2 linked regions of the Stegostoma tigrinum genome follow. The protein of the gene in region 1 interacts with the protein of each later gene in a biochemical or structural test. Links are inferred from orthologs where the notes say so. Each region holds a gene or a part of one and is shown on either strand. Other genes may lie near its edges.

The links. The genes of interacting proteins can lie anywhere in the genome.
Region 2: the proteins of parp1 (region 1) and erg form a complex in vitro, tested with the Homo sapiens proteins (2 studies listed by BioGRID and IntAct). The link is inferred for Stegostoma tigrinum from reciprocal best matches to the Homo sapiens genes PARP1 and ERG.

Annotation. Positions count from the first base shown.
Region 1 is NC_081357.1:10,326,867-10,334,446, reverse strand, and holds the start of parp1 (poly [ADP-ribose] polymerase 1), read right to left. Parts: upstream 3,005-7,580; 5' UTR 2,973-3,004; coding exon 2,859-2,972; intron 1-2,858. UniProt on the Homo sapiens protein: Poly-ADP-ribosyltransferase that mediates poly-ADP-ribosylation of proteins and plays a key role in DNA repair.
Region 2 is NC_081365.1:18,303,016-18,310,043, forward strand, and holds the start of erg (transcriptional regulator ERG), read right to left. Parts: upstream 3,002-7,028; 5' UTR 2,952-3,001; coding exon of another isoform or gene 2,913-2,951; intron 1-2,912. UniProt on the Homo sapiens protein: Transcriptional regulator. May participate in transcriptional regulation through the recruitment of SETDB1 histone methyltransferase and subsequent modification of local chromatin structure.

The sequences.
Region 1 (7,580 bases):
CCTCATCCCAATCTTAAATTGGCACCCCTTTATTCTGAGAATGTGCCCTCTGGGCTTAGACTCTGCCACGATGGTAAACATCCTCTCAACACTGGATTCTCAAGGGGCTTGACACTGTCAATGTGTTTAGCGAGGGAGGATCAGGACCTGAAGGATGTTCTGTCTCACACACAGTGGGAAACACGTGGCAACATGAGTGAACAGCAGAGTAAAAACTCAACATTCGTTTCAGAAAAGTTTGCATCCTACGTGGGGCAGGAGGCTGTCTCTGCAGGAATGCACAATGACAAGGGGCTCAATATCCTTAATGACCGACACTGTTCCACTTTGATGCCTCTCAGCACAATATAAAACAGTTACACCACAGAAAGAGGCCATTCAGCCTACGCATTCTGTACAAGAAGAACTCAAGGTGGTAATCCAATCCGCAGTTCTTTCGGTTTTCACTCATTTCAGACTCGTTCCCAATTTTTACCAACTCTCTCAAATCCCCCTGTCGATCTTTTCTCTGACCCATTGACATAACTCATCTCGTGAATCTTTACTGCATCCTCTCAAACAGCTCTGCCTGAAGTGTGGTGCCCAGAACTGCACACTATACTCGCAGCGAGGTCAAACCGACCTTCCAGAAGGGCCCGTCACACATTTCTTGACTTTGTACACAATGCGTCTGCAACAGAATCCCTCGTGCCTTCTTAATGCCACATTTTCAACTTGCTATGCCACTTTCAAGGGTCACAGAGATCCACAGCACAGAAAGGGGCTCTTCAGCTCATCCCACTGCCTATAGGTTCTGTAAACACATGCAGGTATCCCCTGGCCTCTGTGTTCCTGCACCCGACTCCCACTACCCAATTAGAATCACATTCTTTCTATTATTTTGCCAGCCTTCATTCTTACTTCCAAACAATAGGTTTTGCTGAGACTTCCTGCTCTCCTTGTTCTGGTTTCACCACTCCAGCCTCCTCCCTCCAGTCTTCATCCGCATGTTAATGACTGCATTGTTCTCTGTTTGCTGCTTACACCCCTGCACTGGAAAATATCATCAACTTCTAAACCACCCCCTCAACTTCAACATGGTTCATCTTCAACACTTCCCTTCCCCTGTGTCTCTATTTCTGAGACTGATTGCTGACTAACATTCATTGTAAGACCACTAACTCCCACACTGACCTGGTTATACTCCCCTCCACTGCAAAGACTGCATTCTCACAGACTGTTTGTCTGTGAGAGCGAGCCCGAGTTTCCCTCCCACCTGCCCGCCCCTCCCTCCCAAATGACCAACCCCCATCCCAAATCCTTACGTACACTGGCTCCATCCCCACTTCCTTGACCTGTCTGTCTCCTCTCCACCTATCTGCTCCTCTATCCACCTTCCATCATCACTTCCTCCTCCCGCTATTTATTTCAGAGTCCCCTCCCCCTCCCCCATTTCTGAAAAAGATGCAGCTTGGCCTGCTGTTTTCATCCAGCTCCACACTGTTATCTCAGATTCTCCAGCATCTGCAGTTCCCATTATCTCTCTCTCCACACCCTAATCGTCAGCTTTCCTGCTTCTCTGATGCTGCCTGTCCTGCTGTGTTCATACAGCTCCACACCTTGTTATCTCAGACTCCAGCATCAGCAGTTCGTACTATCCCAGAGATTCCTGTGGCTATTTTAGTTCTCCACCTTACTCTCAAACTGACATCCCTGCCCTGCTGCCAGCCAATGTTCCACTCTGCAAATTGGCACATTACAGTCTTCCACATTCAACATGGATTTCAACAATCCTGGAATGTAAATCCTGTCTCTCTCTCCCCGCTGTTTTCTTTCCAGGCATCAGCCTTGCTCCGCACTCCACTCGATTTGATTCCTGAAGACAACTGTCCATGATTCTCTTTACTGTCCCATTATCACCCTCTTCGGCTCTGAGCAACTGAAAGATGGGTCACTTAGTGTTTCCTGTCTTACGTCCCATGACATTCCACCCAGCCCCTCATTTAAAACTTGCTTCTTGTGTCCTAGCTCTGATCAAACACTTAACTGTGACGTTAAACACCACACACACACACACACACACACACACACCAACTGAGTAGCTTCTCTCTCCACAGATGCTTCCAGACCTGCTGAGCACGTCTTGATTCCACTTCTCAGACCTTCCACTGTTTTTTTTGGCTTACAACAGCATGCTTGTGGTCCTCTGCAATATTCCCAACCCCCCCTTCCACTTGCATTGTCTGAGCCACAAGACCCAGCTGATCCAGTTAGTTATGTGGGTCAAACAGCATTTCTGAAGATTTAAAATTCCCCTCGGATTCTGACCGTGCCTTTTGCTGTGAAAGAATCTGTCTCAAAAGTGTATATATATATAAAAAAAAACGAAACGCAGGATTTCACCAGAGGACGACCACTCTGAGCTCAGTCTACAAGGTGGGCATGCGTCTGCAGATAATCACTGGGATTTTTAGCAATGCATTTGGGGGAAGAAAAAAAAAGAGGTTTTCGCAATTAATATTTAATCAACGGGGGAGGGGGGGGGTCACTTTGAAAATGGGGCTTCTGAAGAGGATGGAAGTTGCAATGATTTTCAATGAATGTTGCAGGCCTGGCTTACAGCGTGAGTCATCAGCAAAACACAGCAGCTCAGAAAGGTCAAAGAGGTGGCGGATACAAAACCCAGAATCACCAGAAACGGAATAAAAAATAATGCATTTTGAAAAGGAGCAGGATGCATGCCCACAAAAAACCTGCGGCCGCCCCGGTCTACAACACGAGGCCTGCACGCTGAAGGGGGGGGGGCGGGGGGAACATCCCCGCTGCCAGTCAGCAGCCCGGGGCCAAACTCTCGCCGGTCCCGACCAGCGATCGCTCACCTGCACCATGATGGCCAGCCGCAGCGAGTCCTTGGCGATACTTTCGCCGCATTTCTTGCACGACGCCCGCCCGCTCTTCGCATACTCCGCCTTGAAGAGCTTCTCGTCGGCCATGGCGACGCAGCAGCTGCACGGCCCCGCCTGCAGGAGGCAGCAGCGGGCACCCCACTCCCAGCGAGCGCGGGAAAGGGGCGGGGCCCTGCGGGGGCGGGACTGACACGGGAGGGGCGGGGATACGGGGGAAGGGGTACGTGGGCACAATGTGATTGACAGGGCACGGGGGCACAGTGTGATTGACAGGGGCACGTGGGCACAGGGTGATTGACAGGGCCACGTGGGCACAGTGTGATTGACAGGGACACGTGGGCACAGTGTGATTGACAGGGCACGGGGGCACAGTGTGATTGACAGGGACACGGGGGCACAGTGTGATTGACAGGGACACGGGGTGATTGACAGGGGCATGTGGGCACAGTGTGATTGACAGGGCACGGGGGCACAGTGTGATTGACAGGGACACGGGGGCACAGTGTGATTGACAGGGCACGGGGTGATTGACAGGGGCATGTGGGCACAGTGTGATTGACAGGGCACGGGGGCACAGTGTGATTGACAGGGACACGGGGGCACAGTGTGATTGACAGGGGCACGTGGGCACAGGGTGATTGACAGGGCACAGGGTGATTGACAGGGCACAGTGTGATTGACAGGGCACGGGGCACAGGGTGATTGACAGGGGCACGGGGGCACAGTGTGATTGACAGGGCACGGGGCACAGGGTGATTGACAGGGCCACATGGGCACAGTGTGATTGACAGGGGCACGTGGGCACAGGGTGATTGACAGGGCACAGGGTGATTGACAGGGCCACGTGGGCACAGTGTGATTGACAGGGACACAGGGGCACAGTGTGATTGACAGGGCATGGGGCACAGGGTGATTGACAGGGCCACGTGGGCACAGTGTGATTGACAGGGGCACGTGGGCACAGGGTGATTGACAGGGGCACAGGGGTGCAGTGTGATTGACAGGGACACGGGGGCACAGTGTGATTGACAGGGCACGTGGGCACAGTGTGATTGTTATGGGCACAGGGTGATTGTCAGGAGCACATGGGCACAGTGTGATTGACAGGGCACATAATGACTGACAGACACATGGGCACATAATGATTGACGTGGGCACAGTGTGATTGACAGGGACACGTGGGCACAGTATCATTGACAGGGACACGGGGGCACAGTGTGATTGTTAGGGGCACATGGGCACAGTGTGATTGACAGTGGCACGTGGGCACAGTGTGATTGACAGGGACATGTGGGCACAGTATGATTGACAGGGACACGGGGGCACAGTGTGATTGTTAGGGGCACATGGGCACAGTGTGATTGACAGTGGCACGTGGGCACAGTGTGATTGACAGGGACATGTGGGCACAGTGTGATTGACAGGGACACGGGAGCGCAGTGTGATTGACAGGGACACGGGGGCACGGTGTGATTGACAGGGGCACGTGGGCACAGTGTGATTGACGGGGCACGGGGGCACAGTGTGATTCTCAGGGACACGTGGGCACAGTGTGATTGACAGGGGCATGTGGGCACAGTGTGATTGACAGGGCACGTGGGCACAGTGTGATTGACAGGGCACGGGGGCACAGTGTGATTGACAGGGGCATGTGGGCACAGTGTGATTGACAGGGCACGGGGCACAGGGTGATTGACAGGGATACGTGGGCACAGGGTGATTAACAGGGCACGGGGCACAGGGTGATTGACAGGGCCACGTGGGCACAGGGTGATTGACAGGGGCATGTGGGCACAGGGTGATTGACAGGGCCACGTGGGCACAGGGTGATTGACAGGAGCATGTGGGCACAGGGTGATTGATAGGGCACATGGGCACAGTGTGATTGACTGGGGCACAGTGTGATTGACAGGGGCACGTGGGCACAGTGTGATTGACAGGGACACGGGGGCACAGTGTGATTGACAGGGCACGGGGCACAGGGTGATTGACAGGGCCACGTGGGCACAGTGTGATTGACAGGGGCACGTGGGTGCAGTGTGATTGACAGGGGCACGTGGGCACAGTGTGATTGACGGGCATGGGGGCACAGGGTGATTGACAGGGATACGTGGGCACAGTGTGATTGACAGGGACATGTGGGCACAGGGTGATTGACAGGGGCATGTGGGCACAGGGTGATTGACAGTGATACGTGGGCACAGTGTGATTGACAGGGACACGGGGGCACAGTGTGATTGACAGGGCACGGGGGCACAGTGTGATTCTCAGGGGCACGTGGGCACTGTGTGATTGACAGGGCACGTGGGCATAGGGTGATTGTCAGGGGCACGTGGGCATGGTGTGATTGTTATGGGCACAGGGTGATTGTCAGGAGCACATGGGCACAGTGTGATTGACAGGGCACATAATGACTGACAGACACATGGGCACATAATGATTGACGTGGGCACAGTGTGATTGACAGGGACACGGGGGCACAGTGTGATTGTTAGGGGCACATGGGCACAGTGTGATTGACAGTGGCACGTGGGCACAGTGTGATTGACAGGGACATGTGGGCACTGTGTGATTCTCAGGGGCACGTGGGCACAGTGTGATTGACAGGGGCACGGGGGCGCAGTGTGATTGACAGGGACACGGGGGCACGGTGTGATTGACAGGGCACGGGGCACAGTGTGATTGACGGGGCATGGGGGCACAGTGTGATTGTCAGGGGCACGTGGGCACAGTGTGATTGTTATGGGCACATGGGCACAGTGTGATTGACAGGGCACATAATGACTGACAGAGATACATGGGCACATAATGATTGACGTGGCCACAGTGTGATTGACAGGGACACGTGGGCACAGTGTGATTGACAGGGGCACGTGGGCACAGTGTGATTGTTAGGGGCACATGGGCACAGTGTGATTGACAGGGACACATGGGCACAGTGTGATTGTTATGGGCACATGGGCACAGTGTGATTGACAGGGGCACATGGGCACAGTGTGATTGACAGTGACACATGGGCACAGTGTGATTGACAGGGGCACATGGGCATGCTGTGATTGACAGGGACATGTGGGCATGCTGTGATTGACAGGGACACGTGGGCACGGTGTGATTGTCAGTGGCACGTGGGCACAGTGTGATTGACAGGGGCACGGGGGTACAGTGTGATTCTCAGGGGCACGTGGGCACGGTGTGATTGGCAGGGCACATGGGCACTGTGTGATTGACATGGCACGAGGGCACAGTGTGATTGTTATGGGCACAGGGTGATTGTCAGGGGCACATGGGCACAGTGTGATTGACAGGGACACGTGGGCACATAATGACTGACAGAGACACTTGGGCACATAATGATTGATGTGGGCACAGTGTGATTGACAGGGACACGTGGGCACAGTGTGATTGTCAGGGGCACATGGGCACAGTGTGATTGACAGGGACACGTGGGCACAGTGTGATTGACAGGGACATATGGGCACAGTGTGATTGACAGGGGCACGTGGGTACAGGGTGATTGACAGGGACACGTGGGCACAGTGTGATTGACGGGGCGCATGGGCACAGTGTGATTGACAGGGGCACGTGGGCACAGTGTGATTGACAGGGGCACGTGGGCACGGTGTGATTGACAGTGACACATGGGCACAGTGTGATTGACAGGGACATGTGGGCACAGTGTGATTGACAGGGACATGTGGGCACAGTGTGATTTACGGGGCACATGGGCACAGTGTGATTGACAGGGGCATGTGGGCACAGTGTGATTGACAGGGGCACGGGGGCACGGTGTGATTGACAGTGACACATGGGCACGGTGTGATTGACAGGGACACATGGGCACAGTGTGATTGTCAGGGGCACATGGGCACAGTGTGATTGACAGGGACACGTGGGCATAGTGTGTTTGTCAGGGGTACATGGGCACAGTGTGATTGTCAGGGGCACATGGGCACAGTGCGATTGACAGGGGCACGTGGGCACTGTGTGATTGTCAGGGGTACATGGGCACAGTGTGATTGTCAGGGGCACATGGGCACAGTGTGATTGACGGGGCACGTGGGCACAGTGCGATTGACAGGGCCACATGGGCACAGTGTGATTGATGGGGCATGTGGGCACAGTGTGATTGACAGGGCACGTGGGCACGGTGTGATTGACAGAGGCTCGTGGGCAGTGTGATTGATAGGGATACGTGGGCACAGTGTGATTGTCAGGGGCACATGGGCACTCTTCTCGAAATGCCCACCTTCAAGAAATTGTCCTCCTCCCTCCGGAAAGATCTCAGTGGACCTCCCTCCCACTGCAACCCTCTGGGCACTCAGTTATCGCCATCCCACCTACCTTTCCCAGCCCCACCCCTCCTATCTTTATTTATTTCAGAGCCCCCTCCCCCGCCCCCATGTCTGAAGAAGAGTCCTGACCAAAACGTCAGCCTTCCTGCTCCTCTGATGCTGCCTGGCCTGCTGTGTTCCTCCAGGTGCACAATGTGTTGTCTCTGTACCCGGCATCTGCAGTTCTTGTTATCTCTGAATCAGACCAAGTTGGGGTGGTCAAACATGGACCAAGCGGTCTATATCCATGCTGCACTTCTCTATGACACTAAGAAGATAATTTGCAGAGTGACAAATAGAGATAGAGTAACAAACTGCTCAGAAATTTTTTTTTACTTTTTCACTCACTGACCGGAGAGGGAGG
Region 2 (7,028 bases), on another chromosome or scaffold:
TGCCCTGCCTCAAAAGACAGGAACTAACATAACTTGTGCATATCCTGTTACCTCACATAACAACTGTTCTTAGGATCTAACAGCTTTACCTGATGTTCGGTTGCTTTCTAATTAATTAAAGGACCTTCCTTTTCCTGGTGACCTGCTCTGTTTAACCTGCCTACAATAATAATTTTATGATTCACAAGGATTCAACTCGCCATGAATCACATAAATTTATAAAATGATGCAAAAGCAATAAGTTGTATGTGAAAAGAATTAGCCATGCTGACTGCTCTGCATGGAACACAAAATTCCTTAATAGTCTACAAATGCCAAGTACTATCACATGAATGCTTAGCCCATTCTTATTACATTTCCCTGTCACTCTTTCATGGGAACTCGACGGGCTAATTCCAAAATTCTGAATCCTTCAATCTGCCTGGAACACATCCACCCAGTTTTAACAGAGATGGGTTAGGAAGCGGCCAGCATTTCCATATGTTAATGAAGCTGCACTCTATAGAAAAATTGAGCAGCTGAAAGATGGCAAAAATGTTGGATCCAATATTAAGGTGCCTTTCCCACAGAGGTGTAGAGGAAGATTGGACTTTCTCTGAAATATAACCATGTTATTGTAGAACTGAGGTTTGTACACGGGAGGTGCAGTAATAATCTCCAAGATTACCAGGCCAAATTCTAATTTAAGGGGTTTAGTTTCAGCAATGTTCCAGAGGTTATACAAACAGCATTGAAGTTGTCTATGAGTCACTCCTTTGCCCATTATATTTAGTTATAATTTAAATGGTGGGGTTGGAAGGGATGATTGTATATCATTTTTAATCTCTTTAGGGGAGGGTTGCATACCAGTGATAGAAGTTATGTTGTGCATCCTTCGTGAACCTAGGACAGTGCCTTCGCTGAAGGATTAGCAATGTTGCCAGATTTTAGTACATGTCTGGCGTTAAATAGAAATAAGTTTCTCTTGCTGGAAAATTGCTCGTGTTTTGATCCTCTTTCATAACTTGTACCAAGAAGCAGCAGCATTTTACATCCCAAACATTGCTCACCGTCCATTTTATTTGTTGCTGGAATTTGGGAGTCACTGGCTGGCCAACATTTATTGCCCGACTGTGGCTTGACTTGGGAAGGTTTTGGTGAGCTGTCTTCTTGAACTGCTACAATCTTTTTTGGTCTGGGTCCATAACTGAATGCTCATACTTTCTTGTGTATTATGGTTATGCTAACAATGATGTTGAGGGCTACAAAATTAAAGCAAATAGATGGAGAGATGGAAAGAGGATCTAATTAATGGTGGAACAAGCTTCTAGGGATGAATGACCTACTTCTGTTCCTTTTGTTTTAAATGTTCTATCACCTTGATAAGGAAGCCTTTGGTTAATGAAGATTGTCAATAAAAGCCCATTTCCTAAGACTACAATCTGAAGCTACACTTACGAAATTGAGCCAATTAACAGCAGTGATTCTCACTCTTTTTGTACCTCAGTGGAAACTCTTCATCTCTTGTTTCTGCCTCTGTGTAGCTGCGATCACTTGTCACAGACTCTTAATTGCTTGAACTCAGAAATGGCCACAGCCTGCTCATAAACTAAAACTATTGAGTGCCCATTTTGATTTGGCAGTAAGTATGTTATCTGCAAAACTCTACTCTTTATTTCATATTTAATTTGCCCAACTTCCTCCCTCCTGTCTTAAAAGATTAAGCAGCTCAGCCGCAACATCATTTTACATTGATATAGTTTCATTAACAGAATAAAACATCTCCAGGCTACTTCACTAAAGCATCATCAAACAGCACTGAGGGTATGTTGCTTAGCCTTTGACGCTTCATCAAGCAGCCTTCCTTCGTTTATGGAGTCTATACAGTAAATCTCAATAGAACACACCACCTCAGCTATCTGATTCTATCAGTCTCATACACGTACATACAGAGACCTTATAGGACCAAACGCAGAGACACACTCACATAGACAAACTCACATGCACACACACTATCCAGTAAAGTCAGAGAGAGTAGACAGAGATCAGAAGCAGAAATCTTCATAGTATCTCATCACAACGTAGGGGTGTTTATCGAACACAACTTTAACAGCAAACTAAGTTACGTTAGTTGAGGTGTGTAGATCTTAAGGGTTAAAAATAAAGTTTTCACAGTTAGTGTGGGTCTCACTTCTGCAACCACCAACTAATCCAGCCAAGCACATAAATAACTATAATCCCTGACTCTCTTCTTGGTTCTAGTTAGGTTTCGGCCTTGGCTTAGTTGATGCAATGCTCATATCTGAATCAGAAAGATGCAAGCTCAAGTTCCGCTTGGGCGCAATAATCGAGGTTAGTACTCAAGAGCAGTACTGTAGGAGTGCTGCATGGTCAGAGATGCTGCCTTTTGAATTTGATATTAACCATAGTTCCCTTTCAGGCAGACATAAGAGATCCAAGGGCAATATTTCAAAGAACAACAAGGGAGTTAATCCTGATGCACCAGTCATTATTTATTCTTGTTAATATGAAATTCATATAATCTGGTCATTATCACATTTCTGTTTGTGGAGTTTGCTGTGTGCAAATGAGTTATGCTCACAGCATAAGTTGGGACTACACTGTAGAATTGCTTCACTGGTTGCCAAGTATTTTGAAACATCCTGTAGATATGAAAGTTGCTACGTAAATGCAAGTCTTTTTTTGCCCTTTGTCTCTTTGTAAACTGGAAGCAATCGGACAACAGAAGACACTGGAGATTGCTTCGGATTGGCAAATATCAATTGTCGCATGTTTCAACATTTTGCAGGGCTTTACTGAGAAATACACATGTAAATAATTAATCAGCACCAGAATGGCTCCATAACAACTCCCACATTCTCAACTCCCATTCACAGGCAATAACTTAACAGAAACGTATCTTACTGACTTACTTTAATATGAGCCACTGAGTCTGGGACAGTCTGAATCATGTCCTTCAGCTGAGGTGCAGAATACAACGACAGTGCAAGCCTCACAATTCCTGTGTACAAGGGGAAAGAAGGATTAGATCAACAGGGATTTGAATTGCTCTACACGTGTAGCCAGGTAAACTAACAATACAATACAACAACAAATTCAAACTGTGCCAGCCAATTGAGTGACCAGATTTAAAGAAGACAAATTTAACTGCGGAAACATACATTTGAAATGGCCAGAAGCAGATGATGTCAGTTCCAGACTAACCTCAGCACACTGAGCTTTCCAAAATCATAAATAGCTCAATGACATCAGATGTTTTGAATAATGGAATCATTTTTGGTTAAAGAACTTGTCCTGGGATTTCTCTTTAATTCTACATAAGCAATGCCATGCGTATGAAAACCCACAGACATTCTGGAATTCTGCAAATAAAATAGGGCATTGAAAAATAAGTCAGACCTGAGTTTGTCTCTTCTAGAAGCATAATCATCATGGAAAATGATTGCATTGTCGGGGCCAATCCAATTAAAGTTGAATCCCTATTTAGTGCTCACAGATCAGGCTTGATATTGTTTTAGGTGCATCTACAATGCAAGCCTGTCAATCCTCAAAGACCTTTGTGGTTAGTTTCTCGTGAGAATTCAATGTTATCAATGATTTAGGAGTAACTTGTTTGAAAAGTTATGGAATAAAGAGATCAGAGAAATAAACAATGCATAAAATGAAGCCATTCTTCACCCAGAGTCACGGAGTCATACAGGACAGAAACAGACCCTTTGGTCCAATTTGTCTGCACCAACCAGATATCCTAAATTAATCTAGGCTCATTTGCCAGCATTTGACTCATGTTCCTCTAAACCCTTCCTATTCATATACCCACCCAGATGCCTTTTAAATGTTGTAATTGTACCAGCTCTATCACTACCTCTGGAAGTTTGTTCCATACATGTACCACCCTCTGTGTGAAGAAGTTGCCCCTCAGGTCCTTTTCAAACCTTTCCCCTCTCACCTTAAATCTATGCCATCTAGTTTTGGACTCCCCTACCCTCAGATAGAGACCTTGGCTATTCGCCTATCCGTGTCCCACATGATTTTGTAAACTTCTATAAGTTTACCTCCAACACTCCAGGGAAAATAACCCCAGACTATTCAGCCTTGCGCAGTGATGAGCCTGTGGAATTCTTTGGCAAAGAAGGCAGTTGAGACCATAATATAGATGTTTCCAAGAAGGAGGCCAAAATAGGTTTTAGGGTTAAAGGGATCAAAGTGTAAAAAGGAAAAAGTGGGAACAGGATATTGATTTGGATGTTCAGCCATGATAATACTGAATGGGGGCAGGCTCAAAAGTCCAAAAGGCCTAATTCTGCTCCTGTTTTCCATGCTTATTCAGCATTCTAAAGGCAGCCGTGACAATCAGTCATGATTAATGTGTCTTCATTCCAGTCACTTGCTTTAGTTCTATATTCCTTAATTTGAATAAAACACTGAAGCATACATTATCCTTTCCTGTGTACATTAAAGATCCTTTGGCATTATTCTAAGTGCAACAGGATAACTCTTCCGCTATATTGAACTTATATAGGATTGGAGTGAGACATCAAATGGAGTATTGGGTGTAGTTCAGGGCACTGCATTTCAGGAATGAGACAAGTGAGGACAGAGTATGGAAACAATTACGAGAATGATTCCAGGAATGAGAAATTTCAGCCTTGAGGATAGATTGGAGAGAGTGGGTCTATGTTTACTCAGCTAGCAGAAGGCTTAAAGGATAGCTGATAGAAGTTTCCAAAATGATGTGGGGTCTGGGCAGAATACATCAGGAGAAACCATTCCTGCTTATAAGGAGATCAAGACCAGAATGACAGATTCAAAAGGTTGTGCAAAAGAAATACTTGCACTAGTTTTAAGTGTGGTGGACATATGTCCAGCTGAGGCATTTAGGAGGTACTAGGTGATTACTTAAATGCAAACATTGTGCAGGATGACAGGGAAAGGGCAGAAAATTAGCACTAAACCAAAATGCTCAGACAGCCAGTGCAGACACAAAGAGTTGAATGTGTTCTGCACTATAAAAATTCTAGATTCTATCCTGATCAATAATCATCCCTTGTTCAATATCCCTGTTGTATGATCGTGCTGATTGTGAGTCCCGGCTGTTTCTACATTTCAACAATAACAACACTTTAAAAATACTGCAAAGGCTGCCAAGCGTTTTGAGATATCCTGAGGTTGGAAAAAGCACCACAACAATGCGAGGTTGTTTCTCAATATCTCAAAAAAAAATCTCAGGCCATTCAAAATGGAGGCTACAGTTCAGGTCAAAGCAGCTTCGTATTAGAAGCCTGATGAAAATATTTGTGCATCTTTGCTCATCCTCCTCCAAGTTCTCCGTCCAATCTGGGAGGATGGACAGGATGATCCAGCTAATGAGGGGTCTCAATTTGAAGAGATGCCACCAAGGCTCACAACGGCACTTGTGAGTCATTTCCAAACCAGTTGGAAGGATACACGAGTTATAGAATGGCATAAGAAGTACAGCAGTAGAAATAGTGAGCAGTAAATGTGCTAGGATGTAGGTGAATCCAAACTCTGCTTAGCTGGATACAAATATTGAGCCTCAGAGGATGTGCACTAATGTAACTCATGCAACGTGGTGGAAAATGCATGTGCTTCTGTCAGCATTTCCAGAGACAGTCCATGCCCTTGCACAGAACACAGAGGAGTGAGGAGTCCTCTTCTAGCTTTGTGTCTGTGTTGTCCAAGCTATTCCCACCAATCATCACCTCCACTGAAAGAGTAGCCATTCTCACTAGGCCATCAAGTTCATGCTGATCCACCTCAATGGCCTGCAAAATTTGGCTGCCAGTTTCCATCTTGGCAGCTGAACTTCACACTGTGCTCTTCTGCTTTTGGTCAGCAGGGAAATGCAGGCAGGTCCTCAGAGGGAAGAAAGGGAAAAGACTGATGGAAACTCGTGCTTTTCAAAAAACTGTTTCAGCTCTCAATACTTGTGCCCCTCCCCCGCCTCAAACATTGTCCCAAAGGCTGCCACCTGCCCATAGAGGATAGAGCCTGCCCCTGCAGACACTGGCTTGGGGCAGTCTTTGACAGGGACCCTCACAGTGTCAAATGCCCAGAAAATATCTGACAAAGAAGTCATCCTGGGTCTGTGGAAAACCTGTGGGGTAAGCATGAATGACAGGCCTATAGGTTTGACTGGCCTCAACCAGATCAAAGCTGAGAAAGTTGAGGCCTTTATAAACAAGACTTGAGTGACATGGAAGATGTCAACTACTGCTGGGGCTCTGACAACCTGACGAAGCTGTTTCTAATACTCAGAGACCCAAGCAGCTTCAGTATGCCTTTTAGGCCTATGGAGCTAAGGTGGGCAGATGAAGTTAATGTACAACCAAACATGATCTAATTGAATAGCAGAATAGCCACAATGAGGTGTGAACTTACTTCTGTTCTTATGCACCATTACATAATGTAAAGTAAAGCATTTTGGAATTGCTGAGTTTATAACAGATATTATATAACAACAAGAGATAGTAGGAACTGCCAGTGCTGGAGTCCGAGATAACAAGGTAGCGAGCTGGATGAACACAGCAGGCCAGGCAGCATCAAAGCAGCAGGAAAGCTGGTATTTTGTGTCTGGACCCTTCTGGATCAGCTTTCCTGCTCCTCTGATGCTGCCTGGCCTGCTGCGTTCATCCAGCTCTACATCTTGTTATATAACAACAAGTCTTTTCTCCTTCATAACATCCTCATTTCATAGAAACAAGCCACATAACTAAGCCTAGTTTTGTGACAGTACTGGTTTTACTTAAAGTGTTAGCAGTACGAACAAGCCAACAGTTAAAATTACAAAAACAATGTGCCATTCATCTTCTTTTGCCTATTAAGTTCTGATTGGTTGATAAAGACATTATCAACTGCACATAATAAGGGTGTTGTGACTTATTTGAAGTTTGTAGAAAAAATATAATTGGTATCTGATTTAATGTAGACATTTTTTTGTGGACCAGCATTCTGTTTACTGCATCATTAAAGCAGAAAAAAATACCTTCATCGGCGAAATCTGTCTC